Linked DNA regions of Elephas maximus indicus. The protein of the gene in region 1 purifies or fractionates together with the protein of each later gene. This does not show direct contact. Links are inferred from orthologs where the notes say so. Each region holds a gene or a part of one and is shown on either strand. Other genes may lie near its edges.

Region 1 (7,993 bases):
AACCTTTTGATCGGAAGGATAATCAAGGATCATGTTATCCACATCTTTTTAATTGTGTAGCCTGTAACAATGAAGAACTACAAAAAAGCCTTAAATACTACGTGCATTAGCCACAAGATTTCCTAGTTCTAGAAAGTTAAATTTCTGCTAACATGCAGTAAAAAGACAATTAAAAGTATTGCATACTTTAAATTCACCCATTTAACTTATAGTGTACAGTGACTGCGGGGTTTACTTATTTTGGTCAAAGGATGGAAGCAGGTGTAGAGAGAAACACTGTACCCTTTGTCTGGTCATCTCTCACCATGTACCTGTATAGATTATTTTTCATAGTTGTACTTTATTACACTTATTTCTCCTGACTCATCTTCATAACAAATGACAAACGCATTGTTTTTCCCACTATACAGAAGACAATACAAAGCACATTAAACACAAACACCTAGCTGGTTAGTCAATATACTCCACTCCCATTTTCCAAACAGAACAAATCTGACCCACAAGATTAACATACCTAAAAATTTAAAGCCATTTTACACGATTTTAAGACACTACCAAAAGCTTTTCTTATTAGGCCAAATTCCAATGGACTAAACTACCTACGTATCTAAAGTTTACAGTAGACTATTCCAGTAAATACTGTACTCAACTATCATGATCTTGTTCCAAACCAGAGCTTAATGTTGGAGGACGCTATTTTGCCCACAGCTGCACTACCGTGTTACCCTGCAATTCACCATCTATTTTCGAAAAGGAAGGAGGGGAACACAATGTCATAAATTATCATAAAAAGTGTGCTGGCCTGAGCCATCAGAAAACTACTACTGCTAATACTTCTGCTACTACCCTCCACAATCAGTTTCCTCTAAACCATTGTTTCCTCATTTTTTTAAAGTAAAGGGGTTGGACTAGATTATCTCTAACATCTTTCTCACCTCTGAATGATTCTAAGTACTGCAGTAGATTTTATTGGCTTTAAGGATGGGACCTATCTTTCTCTGCATTGTTTCAAATGCAACCTGAGCAATACACTACCCTGAAACATCCAAATAGGTCAGTATAAAATGTCAATACAAATCTATCCTCAGACTCAAATAACGTAAATGGAAATAATAGTAGTGAGTGTCCATTTCTTTGGTATACATACTGAAGTGATTATATCTCTACCTGTGTAACTTCTTCCAGCCTGAGGTAAAAGAGAATCTGATCTTCAACTAACAGATAAATCTTAAATCCTTTAAAAGATGTTCCCATATAAAAGACTATCAGCTATCTGAACAGAGCCCAGGATCAAATAAATGCAATTTTCAGAAAAAACTAAATAAGATCTGTTTGTGGAAGGGAATAAATGGCAATGGGTACTTCTGCATAATTCAGTTGTCCTCACCTGTATAACTAAGTTTATAATCAGCCTCTAAAGCTGTTTTCCTTCTCCTACCTTAAGTTACTACTTCTTTCTCCAGATAAGATTTTTTAGCTTCCATCTCAGGGAGTGGACAAGAGAATTACAATAGAGCTGGCAGCTAACAAAGCTAACTCTTAATTTGCTGTCAGTATGGTATGTTTTACTCAGCTTTTGGGTTATATGGCTGCCTTTGAAGAATAAGATCCTGTAACGCCGCCTGTCTGTGGACCCAGGAAAAATAAACAGTTATTATGAAACCAGATCACTAGGACAAACCAAGAGGCCTTCCTATTCCAACTCACCACAACCAACTCTGGCTCTAAAGCAGACTCTTCAGCTGTCCCCTACTATCCGGAAAACAAAACGCCCTAGTTTAATTCTTCCTCACTAAGAAATTATTTGAAGATATATATGTACGTGCACATAAGGATAAAATATATTTGCCACCTTATAAGTTATTTATAATTGTATATGGATGTAAGATCAGGTCATCCAAAATCCTTCAGAGATGGAGAAGTGAAGGTTACTTCAGCAGCCACAATAGCTATGAAAAAAACCTGCAGCAGAACAACAATATGGAAAAGTACAGCTTCTCACGTGTCTCTCACATACACAAATACTTAGCTGAGCCCATTACAACCTTACCTCCCCAGAAAACTGCTTCCCTTCACCTCACAACTGGGAGAAATTTATCAACCTCCTAATCTTTCCCCAAGAGACTCATCTACCTATTATCTTACCCCTCCAGCTTTGGTCCCGCCCCCGCTTCAGGAACTGGCCCTAGTCAGATCCCCCCAAGCCTGGGTGTGCAAATGGGGAATCTAAACAGTTTCCTCCATCCTTAAGCATGTGAACCATGCCAGGATAATTTGCCATTCACCAACTCCGTGGACTCCGTGGTCCACCCACCCCCACGTGTCAGCTACCCTCCCCCACATTCCCACGCCTCATGATGAAAGCCGGGGAAAGAATGGGGACACTAGAAAGGCCAGGCCTTAAGGATCAACCCACAGGAATCGGTCCCACCGCAGATACCTCCCACCTTCGGCCCCTACCCTTTACAGTCCCTTCCTCCCTCCTTCCTCCGAAACCAGGCCCTTGCCTCGGAAACCTCCTCTTCCTCGTCGTCGTCCTCTTCTTCCTCGCTGTTGTTGCTGCTCGTGCCGCCGCCGCCTCCTCCTCCTCCGCCTCCACCGCCGCCGCTGTTGTCGCTGTCGCTTTCGCTGCTGCTGGGGGGCCGGCAAGTCCGGTTACGTTTGGCCTTGTGGTGTTGCTGCTGCGGCGGTTTTTTCTTCAGGAGTAGGTCGCAGACTCGCACCATCCCACGAGGAGACGAGGCCGAGCAAGCCCCGCCGCCGCCACCGCCGCCGCCAACCTCCGCCGCCACCGCGGGGGGGCCCGCCACAGCCACCACCGCCGGGGGGCTCCCTTCTCCCTCAGCCGCCGCCGCCGCCGGAACCGTCGCCTTCTCCATCCCCAGGGAAAGAGGGAGGGCGCGGACGGGGGAGGAGTGTGGGGGCTACGCTCTACCGTGACTTCGGCCGCACCGGGGCCCACACAGCACTCGGTGCCGCCTCTGCCGCCACCGCCTCGGTCACCTCTACTGCTACTGCTACTGCTGCTGCTACCGCTGCCGCTGCTGCTCCTGCCAACGCCGCCGCCGCCGCCGCTCCGCCAGCTCTCACCTCGTCTCGCGATACTAAGGGTGGGGAGCCTGACGATGGGAGGGAGGGAGCGTGAGGGAGCAAAGGTTGGGGGAGCAGGGAGGGGGAGCCCGTAGAGGCAGATGTGGGTGTCGAGAGACCCAGAGAAGGAGAGACTGGAAAGAGGCAGGGGAAGTGTGCCTAGGGGGGCTTCCGATGGGGGGACGGCGGGGACAGAGGGGGCCGATGTTACTGCCGTAGCGCCCGCGAGCGCGTGGATTGCATCTCTTCCCTCGCTGCTTCCCCCACACACAGCTTTTCAGCCCTCCCTTTTTCCTTCCTCGCTTGCGACTAGAACGCACCCGCAGGCGGAAGTGCAGGTGACGCCATCAGCCGTCGCCTGAGTGGTGGCGCGCGGTGGCCGAAAGGCGAAAGTGAGATTTCGAGGGCCTCCGTGGGAGGGTAGTGCTGTCGTGAGTAGGGCGGGCGGGGAAGTTGGAGAGGAGCGGGCCCCGGGCTGTGTGGGAAGCCGGTGCTGCAGCGCAGTCCGAGCGCTTTGTTAACTGGAGGCGGGATCGGCCAGATCCGGGAGGCGGAGCCTCATTCTGAGCTGCTGTACATACTTTTCATTTAATTCTTGGCAGTTTGTTTCGGCCTCCAAATCACGAATTAGGATTTTGGATTTTGAGAGATAGCGTCTTGTAAAGGAAAGAGGCTTCTTTGCTTAACGTTTAAGTCTTTGGATGTTAGACTTCCTGAACCTGAGTTTCCTCTTGTGTAATATGAAGGAGGTGGATGAGATGTCCAAGATCACTACAGATCCTCGTGATCTTCCTCTTCTTTCTTGCTGCTGTTGCTGCTTGTGTTGCCGCTGCCACCTCCTCCTCCACCACCACCGCTGTTACCGCTGCTGCGGGGGGGTGGGGGGGTGGGGGAAGGTGGTCTCAGAGGAAAAGAGGGATGTGTGCCACACTTTGGATACGGTTTACTGCATGACCCTGATTTAGCTCTTGCAGTTCAACATTTATCTGTGAAGTCGTCGTCTTAAATAATCATCCTTGCCTCTGTACATCTCTTGGAAGAAGTATTGAGATGGGGTTTGTGAGTTCATTTTTAGGTGTCCGAAGGACTTCTAGGATTTTTGAAATGATAGTGTATTGAACTCAGTTACTCCTTTTTGGTCTAGAATGAGCACAGTGGCATAAGGAAAAAGAAGCAAACATCAAAAGCAGATGTACTGGCTAAGAAACAAAGATAAAGTATGTCTCAGTTGACATAGTTGCCATTTTAAGAATGCTAAGTTTAGCTGAGTGTGCCTGAAATTTTTAGCATTTTTTTTTCTTCTAGCATTGGCATACCACATGAAATGTGGGTAGCTGCCAGTACTCTACAGAGTACCATGGCAGAATTGGCAATGATTGAATCAATTCATTCAAGCAAAAATTGATCATGTGCCTACTGTGTGTCAAGTACTTAGGAAATCAAAGTCTCTGCATTCAGAGACTTTATAGTGTAATAAGCGCTATCGTAAATAAGCATACAAAGTGCTAGCCATCTGCCTGTTCCTCTCCTTCAGTACTTGCTGAGTTCCAGTGTATAACAGTACACCACTTTGTGTATCTTACCATTACAGATTTATATCTTCTATAACCTCAGCTTGATCCCTCCCTCCTACTTTGTATATCCTTAAGCACCCTTTTCTCCTGTTCTACCAGAATACTTTTTACAGTCTTTAAATCTCAGCCTCATTTTATTATATATCACTTTACTTCCAACTTCAGAGAAGATTGAAACTGTTCGGCACAAAACTTCAATTTTCCAAATGTTAGAAACGAAATGCTTCCAGATCTTTCTTTTCTGCAGTATCAGAAGAATGAGAAATTCCCTCCTCTTAACCAAGATTAACTCTACATCCATACTCTAGTTCTAATCTCTTTCTCCTCCGTTAATTATCTTTTCCTTTCTACAGTTCTCCACATTTCTGGTTCGTTATCTCTCTGTAACATTCACTCTATGTCCTTTCCTTCACGATCAAACATCTTTAGAGAGTATACTACAGTTTATGTTTCTAACTTATTATCTGAAATTCACCCACCAACCCTCTGCAGTCTAACTTTTGTAGCTATCACTCTATCAGAAAGGCTCTATTTCAAGTAACCGCATTACTCAGAAGAAAATAAGTTCTGATTCTTATGCATATACCAAACCCATTGCCATGAAGTCATTTCTGATTCATTAATGGACGCTTTTACACATATAGTTAGACTAAATTCCCCAGCTTTCCTTACAATTAGGTATGGCCACATGATTGAGTTCTACCCAATGGAATGTAAACAAAAGTGATATGCTCATTTTCAGACTTCATAAACTCCTCCCATACAGGATTTTCCTTACTCTTTCCTCATCAGCTTGATACCATTGAGCATGTTGTTGTTGTTAGGTGCCCTCGAGTCACTTCCAACTCATGGTGACCCCATGCACAACAGAACGAAACACTGCCCTGTCCTGTGCCATCCTCACAATCGTCGTTATGCTTGAGCTCGTTGTTGCAGCCACCATGTCAGTCTACCACGTTGAAGGTCTTCCTCTTTTCCACTGATCTGTACTTTGCCAAGCACAATGTCTTTCTCCAGGGACTGATCCCTCCTGACAACATGTCCAAAGTATGTAAGATGCAGTCTCGACATCCTTGTATCTAAGGAGAATTCTGGTTGTACTTCTTCCAAGACAGATTTGTTCCTTCTTTTGGCAATCCATGGTATAATTCAATATTCTTCACCAACACAGCAATTCAAAGGCATCAGTTCTTCTTCCGTCTTCCTTATTCAGTGTCCAGCTTTCACATACCTATGGTGTGATTGAAAATACCATGGCTTGGGTCAGGTGCACCTTAGTCTTCAAAGTGACATCTTTGCTCTTCAACACTTTAAAGAGGTCCTTTGCTGCAGATTTACCCAGTGCAATGCGTTGTTTGATTTCTTGACTGCTGCTTCCGTGGCTGCTGATTGTAGATCCAAGTAAAACGAAATCCTTGACCACTTCAATCTTTTCTCCGTTTATCATGATATTTCTCATTGGTCCAGTTGTGAGGATTTTTGTTTTCTTTATGTTGAGGTGCAATCCATACTGAATGCTGTGGTCTTTGATCTTCATTAGTAAGTGCTTCAAGTCCTTTTCACTTTCAGCAAGCAAGGTTGTGTCCCTGCATAACACCAGTTGTTAATGAGTCTTCCTCCAATCCTGATGCCCTGTTCTTCATATAGTCCAGCTTCTCGGATGATTTGTTCAGCATACAGATTGAATAGGTATGGTGAAACGATACAACCCTGACACGCACCTTTCCTAACTTTAAACCAATCAGTATACCCTTGTTCCATTCGAACAACTGCCTCTTGATCTATGTAAAGGTTCCTCATGAGCACAATTAAGTGTTCTGGAATTCACATTCTTCGAAATCTTATCCATAAATTGCTGTGATCCACAGAGTCGAATGCCTTTGCATAGTCAATAAAACACAGGTAAACATCCTTCTGGTATTCTCTCCTTTCAGCCAGGATCCATCTGACATCACCAATGATATCCCTGGTTCCATGTCCTCTTCTGAAACCAGCCTGAATTTCTGGCAGTTCCCTGTCGATATACTGCTGCAGCCGTTTTTGAATGATCTTCAGCAAAATTTTGCTTGTGTGTGATAATAATGATATTGTTCTATAATTTCCACATTCAGTTGGATCACCTTTCTTGGGAATATGCATAAATATGGATCTTTTCCAGTCAGTTGGCCAGGAAGCTGTCTTCCATATTTCTTGGCATAGACGAGTGAGCACCTCCAGTGCTACATCTGTTTGTTGGAACATCTCAAGTGATATTCCGTCAATTCCTGGAGCCTTGTTTTTCATCAATGCCTTCAATGCAGCTTGGACTTCTTCCTTTGATACCATCATATGCTACCTTTTGAAATGGTTGAAGGTTGACTATTTCTTTTTGGTATAATGACTGTGTATTCCTTCCATCTTCTTTTGATGCTTCCTGCGTCATTTAATATTTTCCCCATAGAATCCTTCACTATTGGAACTCAAGGCTTGAATTTTTTCTTCAGTTCTTTCAGCTTGAGAAAGGCCAAGTGTGTTCTTCCCTTTTGGTTTTCTATCTCCAGCTCTTTGCACACCAGTGAGCACAGTGACCTTGTAAAGTATATGTTGACGATGCTAGAGTCGGATGAGAGAATGAGCATGGTGGCTGAATCACTACTTGGAAGAGAGCTACCCACCAATTAGAAGCACCCTTTTTTGGACTCCTCGTGAAAGAGAAAAATTGAAATTTGAGAACTTTATCTGTTACAGGAGCTAGAATGACCACGACTAATCCAGAAGTTGGTACAGGAAGTTGGGTACTGCTAAGAAAATAACCTAAAATATTTGGCATTGGCTTGATAATGATTCAACAGGTGATGGGGAAACTTAGATTGAGGGTGGAGGAAAGAAGCCCATGTATTGTAGGGGCAAAGTAATTGTAAAACTATCACCCGTGATTATTGAAAAGCAGACCACATATCTGCTGACACTGTAGCTTTAGAGGAAATGGTCGAAAAATAGTCAAAGTAATGGTGTGTGTTGCTTTTTACATTTTACTTTTAACCAAGTTTTACAAGTAAGAGCTAAGCTCAGGAAATAATTGGCAGAAATGAAAGGGAATAGAAAGTGTGCAGGGATATGTGCAACTGGAAGAGTTGGAAAAGCTGACTTTCTAGACCTCAGACAGTAAAAATGGAACTGGAAGAGACCTTGAGTACAGTTTCCTTATGATTTAGTCCTGCAACAAAGATCAGATCAAGGGTTTGGTCTTCCTAACCAAGTCCATTGTTTCAGATGGCTTCAAGATGGCTGTAATAAAGTTTAGAGAGAAACTAGCATGAGGCAAAGAACTAAATCAGGCTTGAGAATTA
Region 2 (7,587 bases), on another chromosome or scaffold:
GGATTCCGGTTTCCCCAGGATTGCGGGGTGCCGGGTGTGTGTACAGGGTTATTGGTCTTTCATTGCAGAGGTGGGCGGAGAGGGACGCAGCCACTTGTAGCGCGGGAGGGGGACCTGGGGGCCCAGGTGGATGCCTTCCTCGCTGGCTGGGACTGGGCGCCTCGAGGGATCCCTTGGCTGCGTAGCGAGAGAAGTTCTCGGCTAGCACCCACGGCTCTCAGGCCTATTCTCAAAGGACAAATTTCCCAAACCCACCCAGACTAAAGGTCTTTTTCTCCTGTAGTCTTGGTGGGTTATAAATCGTCTCTTAGACAGTTTGCTCTCTGACCCAAATTATGCGGTTTGCTGCCATCTACTGTCCGTGCCGAGACACGCGGCTTCGGCGCTGCAAACCCGCGACGCTGCGCGAGTGGCGCCCGCCGCCTGGAGCCGGTGCCGGGCAGGTTTGGCGGATTACGGGGATTTCGGGGCCAGAGCGATGCTTTCCGCTGCATCTTGCTTCCTGGCCGACTGGGTGCGCATTGGAGTACAGGCACCCCCACCTCCATCCCAGCTCCAAACCTGGCAGGGGAAGCGGCTTTTTCTGGGACACATTTAAAAAGGTCTAATACAACATCCAGCGGGCGCGGGGTCCTGAACCAAAGCGTTGGGGATAAGAGTGGCAAGTCCCCCCACCTCCACCCCCATGGGCGCGAGAGGGGGTCAGGCCGCTGGGGAGATCCGAGGCCAAGGCTGTTCAAGGTTTATTTGGTTTTCTTCTCGGCCAAGGGAAGGGGCCGGCAGGGGAGGCGCCGGCCCGGCAGTTCCACTTGGTTGTCAAAAGACAAACCAGGTCTGTGTTCTCCCTGTTGGCTGGCGGGTCTTGCCAGTTACTTGGCTGGTGGGTCCTTGGTGAAGGAATTGAACCGAGTGTTCTGGAAACTGTTGGTATCTGCGAGTGAGTGTCCGGCCCCTCCCCCATTCCAGATCGTTTCCAGCGAAATCGACACAAATACACTTATGGGAAAAAATTGGGAGTGAGAGTGAGGAGAAATTATTCAGGAACCAAACCATTGCAATTTCCGTTCCTGCCGGACCCCTCACACTCACTTAACCTGACTGCTTTCGCAGAGGGGGTGGTGAGCGCGGGAATACCCGCCTGTGTGCCGCGTTTGAATATTGGCCCCTGTCTCACGGGTTACTGATTAGCTCGGGCTTTCAAGCCGCAAGACCAAGCTCTGGCTGCTCCTTTCAAGGTGCAGTGGCTCAGGTCCCGGGCGGGGGCTTCAGGAGATTGCCTGCGGTGCCAGGCAGGCTAAGGTGTTACAAGGGTCTGGCCGGAGCTAGAGATACTCCCAAGACCCAGGAGCTGACAGTGCTGGGGGCAAGAGCAGCGGCTTCGGCCCTCCGCCCGCGGCCGCTCCTTGAGTCTGGGCCGCAGGAGCAGCCCTTTCAGCTTTTCCGTGGTGGGAATGACTTTATAGCAGTTAGAAGACCGGCCCAGGGAGGCGCCCTGCGGGTGGCCCCGAGGGAGCCTGCCAGAAAGGACTTGGGCCCCTCTGAGGTGATTTCTTGTGGACAATCAGCAGGACGGTGGGGAGGGGTAACCCAGCTGGTACAGAGGTTTGAAACACTTCAGGGCTTTTAAGGTGCCCATGGACCTAGGGGGAGAGGACAGGGTGAGTGGGCCTATAGCCACCGCCTGCTCCTCCCTGAAGATCTGAGATGCTGCCGCCTATTTGCATAATGGAAATAGGATCTTTGTACAGCTCTTTCCATGGGCCTTTTTTAAGGCGAAGTATCCCATCCAAAGAGCATCCTAACCTTTAAGAGAGGCACACTGTTCCCCCCTGGGAACATTTATGTTCCCCAAACCAGAGAATCAGAATTCGGGGAGGATTGGGTTGATGGGTTTTAATCTCCCCACCCCAGCCGGAGTTGGGGTGGGGTGGAGAAGGGACCACAACCCAAAGAGCTTGGGGGGGGGGCTTTGTAGGCCAGAGAAAATGGGAAGGCTGGAAATGTCTCTACCCACCCCCCCCCCCAACTACTTACAGGCAAATATACCTCCCTGTGGTTACCCGGACAGGAGAATTTTACTCCTGAGCCGAACACAACTAAAGAGACATTTCCCTGGGAGCTGGAATGTGTATGGGCCACACAGGACTTGCAGCACAGAAAATTACAATTATAAATCCTGCCTGTGGGCTATCTATACAATCCTTCTGTTGTGTACTCAAGAATTGGTATGCATTTATATTCACTTCTCCATTCACACACTTCCTAGTCAAGGCAGGGAGAGGCTCCCCAGCGGGGCAGACGGCAGTGGCCACTGTGTATTTACATATTCCTCTGCGGAGACAGACTGACTGCGGTGGACCGAACCACAGGCAGATTCGTAGAGATCTGGCTCCAGAAGCCAGGCGGCCTCTGGCTGGGCCCTGCCCGCCTGCTCTTTCTCCCAAACAAACGGATCAGACGAATAAACGCTCATAAATACCTCTGGGCTTAGATAAGAGCGATGAGGCGCTATTTCCTTTCATGCCCGACTCCAGGCGCCTTAGCCCTGCCTACGCGGCTCCATCTCGCGACAGGCAACCTGCAGAGGTGAGGTTAATTTGGGGGCTGCGACTCTTAGGATAAGGCTATTATTTTTGTGCTTATACCACAAGGGAAGGTCCCCTCCCGCAAATATATATTATATTACTTTGCCCAGAGCCCACAGGGAAGCCCATAACTTCTAGTCCTAGGATGGGGGCATTGTGGCCAGGGAGGAGGCAGGCAGGACTGAGGCTCAGAGCCCAGTTTCAGTGGCAGAGAGGGGTGGGGGGCCGTGGGGGAGGGGGGACATACACCGAGGCACTTGCTCCCCCTGCCCAAATGGCCCCTATTCCTCCCTAGGAGTGGGCCCAAGCACAGCTAGATTGGAGCAGTTATGCTTCTCCATCGTTAGAGGGTTTGGGTTTCTTTTCTTAAATCCTCATCAAAACCCCCAAAGCCAGTATTAAGGAGTGGTGGAGGGCCACCCAGGGATGGCCACTTGGCCATGAAGTTGCAGCCTAGAAGTTGCCCTGAGTTCAGGGAGCCCTGGAAACCGCTTTGCAGTCAACCGAGTCCCCATTCTTGGTCTCCCCAACCTCAGTCCTCTACCACCTTCCCTAGTGTCTTGTGCCATCTTTGGCGGGCAGAGTTGGCCCACAAAAAGGAGCCCAAAGAACTAGGCAGCGGAGGGGCAGTCTAGCCCAGCAGTGGACTTTGCCCCACACCTTGCCACTTTCCTGTCCCCAGGTCATAAGCCTGTCACCCTTCACTGCCAGGTTTCTGCATTCATATTAGAATGTTGAGAGTGCATCATGGCCCAGACCCCCCACCTGGCCTCAATGCCCATTTTCCTTGGGTGAGAGAGAGAGCCAGGGACACACACTCTCTCTCACCTCTAAGCTTGTAGAGCAGCAAATCTGGTGATACAAACTTGGTGATACAAACAGGGTGTGGGAGGGAATTGTAGAGATGCTGAGAGGCAGACAGAAGGATTGTAAATGTCTGGAGAGGGGATTCAGGCTGATAGTTGGTGGCTGCCTGCCGAGTCCCCCGGGAGAAATATGACTCCTCCCTCCTTATAAAACTAAACCAAAACTAAGTCTTAGGAAAGAATTGATTTTAAAAAGAACTTCCAGCTTCTAGAGAGACCTGGAAAAGGGGTGAGGGCTACTTTCCTCCCAGTGGTGTCTGATTGCCTGAGATATTGGGAGGATTTGAAGACCTGGAATTGAAGGAGCAGCAATTTCTTTCCTGTACCCAGACTTGTGGGGACAGTCTTGATTCCTAAGACTCTGTAGCCCAGAATATTCCCATGTCATTTGGGGTAAGGAGTGAGGGGTGGAGTGAGGGTAGAAGGCAGAATAGAGATCAAATAAATAAAGGCATCTCACTCCTCCTCTCCCTAGCCCCAAGTGGGGAGAATGCCTAGTCCCTTTCCCCAGTACCCTTGCCCCTGATGACAGCAGCGGGATGTCTTGGGCAGCGACAGCCCCATCTGAAGGCATCCAAAAGGCTCCTAGTCTTGCAGCAGACCCAGAGAGGGCAGCTTGGGCTCAGACCCTCCTTCCATTTCCCAGTCTTCTGGGCAGGGGGCTCTGGCCTGTCTCCCTCAAATCATAAGAGTTATGGAAGCAGGAATGATAATAAATCTGGGCTTGGAGAAGAGAGAGCAGATCTGATAAACAAGGCGGGGGGGGGGGGGACAAGATTTCCAAAACCTGAAACGAAGCGTATTTCTTCTTCTCTCTCTTTCCGAAAGCGATGCTAATTAGACAGCGGAGAACTCTTCTGCCTTTTACCAACACTAAACCCTAGAAACAAACCTGTATCTCGCTCTGGAGGAGACTGGGGACATTTACCCAATCCTACTTGGAGGGAACGGCCCCAAGCAACGCAGGGGTTAACTTTTCTGAAAACACAATGAACTTTTTCCTATCCTGCGTGTGTGTGTGTGTGGAGGGGGGGGGAGGCATATATTTATTTAATCACTGGGGGATGGGGTGGTCTCGATCCAAATGCTTCCTCCTCCCTCAAACGCACAGACGCCTCTTTCGCACATCCTACGTAGGTGGAACAGGACGCGTTGTGTTGTTGAGGGAGAGAGAGAGAAAAGAGAAGGAGAAGAAGGAAGAAAAAAAGGTTGATAGGTTTGTGCGCGGGTCCCTCGTGCTGGCTGCGCTCCTCCTGGGTGCTATTTGACAATTCCTGCCTCTGCCATTGGTCAGTGTTGGATCAGATGGTTGTATTTCCTTCTGGCCCTCACTGGCACCTCGCCATCCCCCCTCAGCTAAAACCCAATCTCGGATATACTACTAATAGGCGCGGCGCTCGGACTATAAAACACAACAAATCATAAACCCGGCGGAGCAGCAGCGGCCGCGCGCGCCTCCCCTCCCAATGAGTTCCTATTTCGTGAACTCCACCTTCCCAGTCACTCTGGCCAGCGGGCAGGAGTCCTTCCTGGGCCAGCTACCGCTCTACTCGTCTGGCTATGCAGATCCGCTGAGGCACTACCCCACGCCCTATGGGCCGGGGCCGGGCCAGGACAAGGGCTTTGCGGCTTCCTCCTACTACCCGCCGGCCGGCGGCGGCTATGGCCGCGCGGCGCCCTGCGACTACGGGCCGGCGCCGGCCTTCTACCGCGAGAAGGAGTCGGCCTGCGCACTCTCGGGCGCCGACGAGCAGCCCCCGTTCCACCCTGAGCCGCGGAAGTCGGACTGCGCGCAGGACAAGAGCGTGTTCGGCGAGACAGAGGAGCAGAAGTGCTCCGCTCCGGTCTACCCCTGGATGCAGCGGATGAATTCGTGCAATAGTGAGTGAGACTGCCCGCCGCCGCCCGGACCCGCGGGCCCTCACCCCCGGGACAGTACTAGCCAGGTCCCTTTCACTTCCCCACAGGCTGCCGGTGGGCATCTCAGTTAGGATAGGGGAAGGTGGGCGCCTGCACCGGGTTTTGCACTCTGTCTTCTCGCCCCTCAGGAGTTAAAAAGTTTGCAAAGTCCCAGCTGGACTCAGAGCCAGGAGGAGCAGTGGGCTCTCCCAGAGCGCCAGGCCAGAACGGGGATGCCGGGTCAGCAAAGGGGGCCCGGGCCACAGCCATTGGATTTGCTTTCCTTTGCGCCCCCAGACCCTAGTCGAGTCCCCCACCCAAGGACCGCTCCATTAGAAACGGCGTGCGTCATGCGGGGGGGGCGGCGTGACGCCGGCAAGGGAGAGTGGAGTCTGTCCCAGACTGTTTCCCTGGGGGTGGGAGGCTGGGGAAAGATGAGGCACCAGGAAAGGGGGGTAACTAGAGGAAGGAGGGAGAAGAGGAGGAAGGACGAGAGCGGGCAGTGGGGGACAGAGGGGGAAACAGGCGCCTGGGTTTCAGGTTGGATTATTTGTTCGCCTTAAGTCCCAAATTGATGTCCATTAGCGCGACACCAAAGTGAGGAGCCGTTAATGCTGCCTATGGATCGATCCACGTCATTACAGATTAAGGGCCGGAATCTATCACAGCGCGGGCGGGGGAGAGCTAGACAGATGGAAAGGGAAGGAAAGGAAAGATGGGGCTAGGAAGACACACACCTGGCCAGCGTCTTCCCAGCCCCTCCCCCTAGGCTCAGGTGGGAGTTCAAACCGCTCCTCCACCGAAAGTCTAGACAGGGAGGGCGTAGGCCTGGGACACCCCCAGGGAACCTGGAGGAGGCGCTGGAGGATTGGGGGAGGGGGCAGGGACCAGGAGCGTGGAGGGCATGCCGGGACAGGCTGGAGTCCACGTTTGAGGGTCCATGGGGGAGGGGGTTCCGGCCCGGTGATCCCAGGCCTCAGCATCTCCTCTTTGCGTAACAGGTTCCTCCTTTGGGCCCAGCGGCCGGCGAGGCCGCCAGACCTACACGCGGTACCAGACGCTGGAGCTGGAGAAGGAATTTCACTACAATCGCTACCTGACGCGGCGGCGGCGCATCGAGATCGCGCACGCCCTGTGCCTGACAGAGAGGCAGATTAAGATCTGGTTCCAGAATCGGCGCATGAAGTGGAAAAAGGAGAGCAAACTGCTCAGCGCGTCTCAGCTCAGTGCCGAGGAGGAAGAAGAAAAACCCGCCGAGTGAAGGCGCTGGATATGGAGGGGTGACGCGAAGGGAGAGGCACTTAGGGAGCCCACGGCGTCGGAGAGTCCCGAGGACGCTCTGCAGGCGGGGGAGCCCGGGGGTTTGCTTCCCCGCGCCACAACCGGCGGGCCCAGAGCTCTCCCGGACGCCCCCGCCCACAGAAGTCCCGCCCAGGCGCTCGGAGGTCGCGCTTCCCCAGCACACCCCGCACCCGGCGCCCCCTGCCTCCCCGCGGAGACCGCCGCGGCCGAATCTGGCACCCCTCGTGAGAACCAAGGACCTGATTCACTTGATGTTTCCTGGAAGCAGAGCAAAATGCTCTTGTCCATGTCGCGTCTCCTCATGTCGTCTATGTCCCCCGTGCACGGTTCAATGGTAGATTCGCTGTCCCCTCAGCGGGGCCTCGAAGACTCCCTGACCCCAGACCTGTTGTTTCTCCCACCCCCTCCCCAAAGCCACTGGAAGGAGCACATACTACCTAGAAGTAAGAAGAGGAGCCTCAGAAGAAAACAAAGTTCTATTTTATTAATTTTCTATGTGTTGTGTTTGTAGTCTTGTCTTAGCTCTGGACGTGAAATACTTCGGTAATAATATTAATATTATTAATAATGATAATAATAATAATAAAGACATGAAAACTCGCCGTTCAGTCATCTCCGCTCCTCCCCTGCCACTTTTTTCTCCCTCCTCCCCCCCGCCCAGCCACCCTATCTGCCCTGTGCCGGAAACTCCGTAGCAGAGGCGGGAGCCCTGGTCAGCCCCTAGGCCTCCCTAGCGGGCCGGCTGGACAAGACTCGGAAGTTACAGCTGAGATAAAGGCAGGAGCGGTCCCGCTCCGGCCCCATCGCCGCGCCTTGGCGGTGCGCAGGCTAGGAACGGCCTCTCCCGGTGCAGACTTGGGGGACGACGGGGGCCGTTTCCCTCGTATTCTCTAGCTTTTCCTCGTTTGTCCGCAGCACGAGGGACGCCACTGAGG

What was found. Proteins that work in one complex are often made in the same cells at the same time.
Region 2: the proteins of ANKRD17 (region 1) and HOXB6 purify together in Homo sapiens (co-immunoprecipitation; 3 studies listed by BioGRID and IntAct, with this or other methods). This does not show direct contact. The link is inferred for Elephas maximus indicus from reciprocal best matches to the Homo sapiens genes ANKRD17 and HOXB6.

Annotation. Positions count from the first base shown.
Region 1 is NC_064823.1:84,411,416-84,419,408, reverse strand, and holds the start of ANKRD17 (ankyrin repeat domain-containing protein 17), read right to left. Parts: upstream 3,084-7,993; 5' UTR 2,880-3,083; coding exon 2,508-2,879; intron 1-2,507. Other genes in the region: uncharacterized protein LOC126076716, read left to right, coding at 3,192-3,428.
Region 2 is NC_064837.1:44,923,362-44,930,948, forward strand, and holds HOXB6 (homeobox protein Hox-B6), read left to right. Parts: upstream 1-4,551; 5' UTR 4,552-4,917; coding exon 4,918-5,332; intron 5,333-6,351; coding exon 6,352-6,611; 3' UTR 6,612-7,239; downstream 7,240-7,587. UniProt on the Homo sapiens protein: Sequence-specific transcription factor which is part of a developmental regulatory system that provides cells with specific positional identities on the anterior-posterior axis.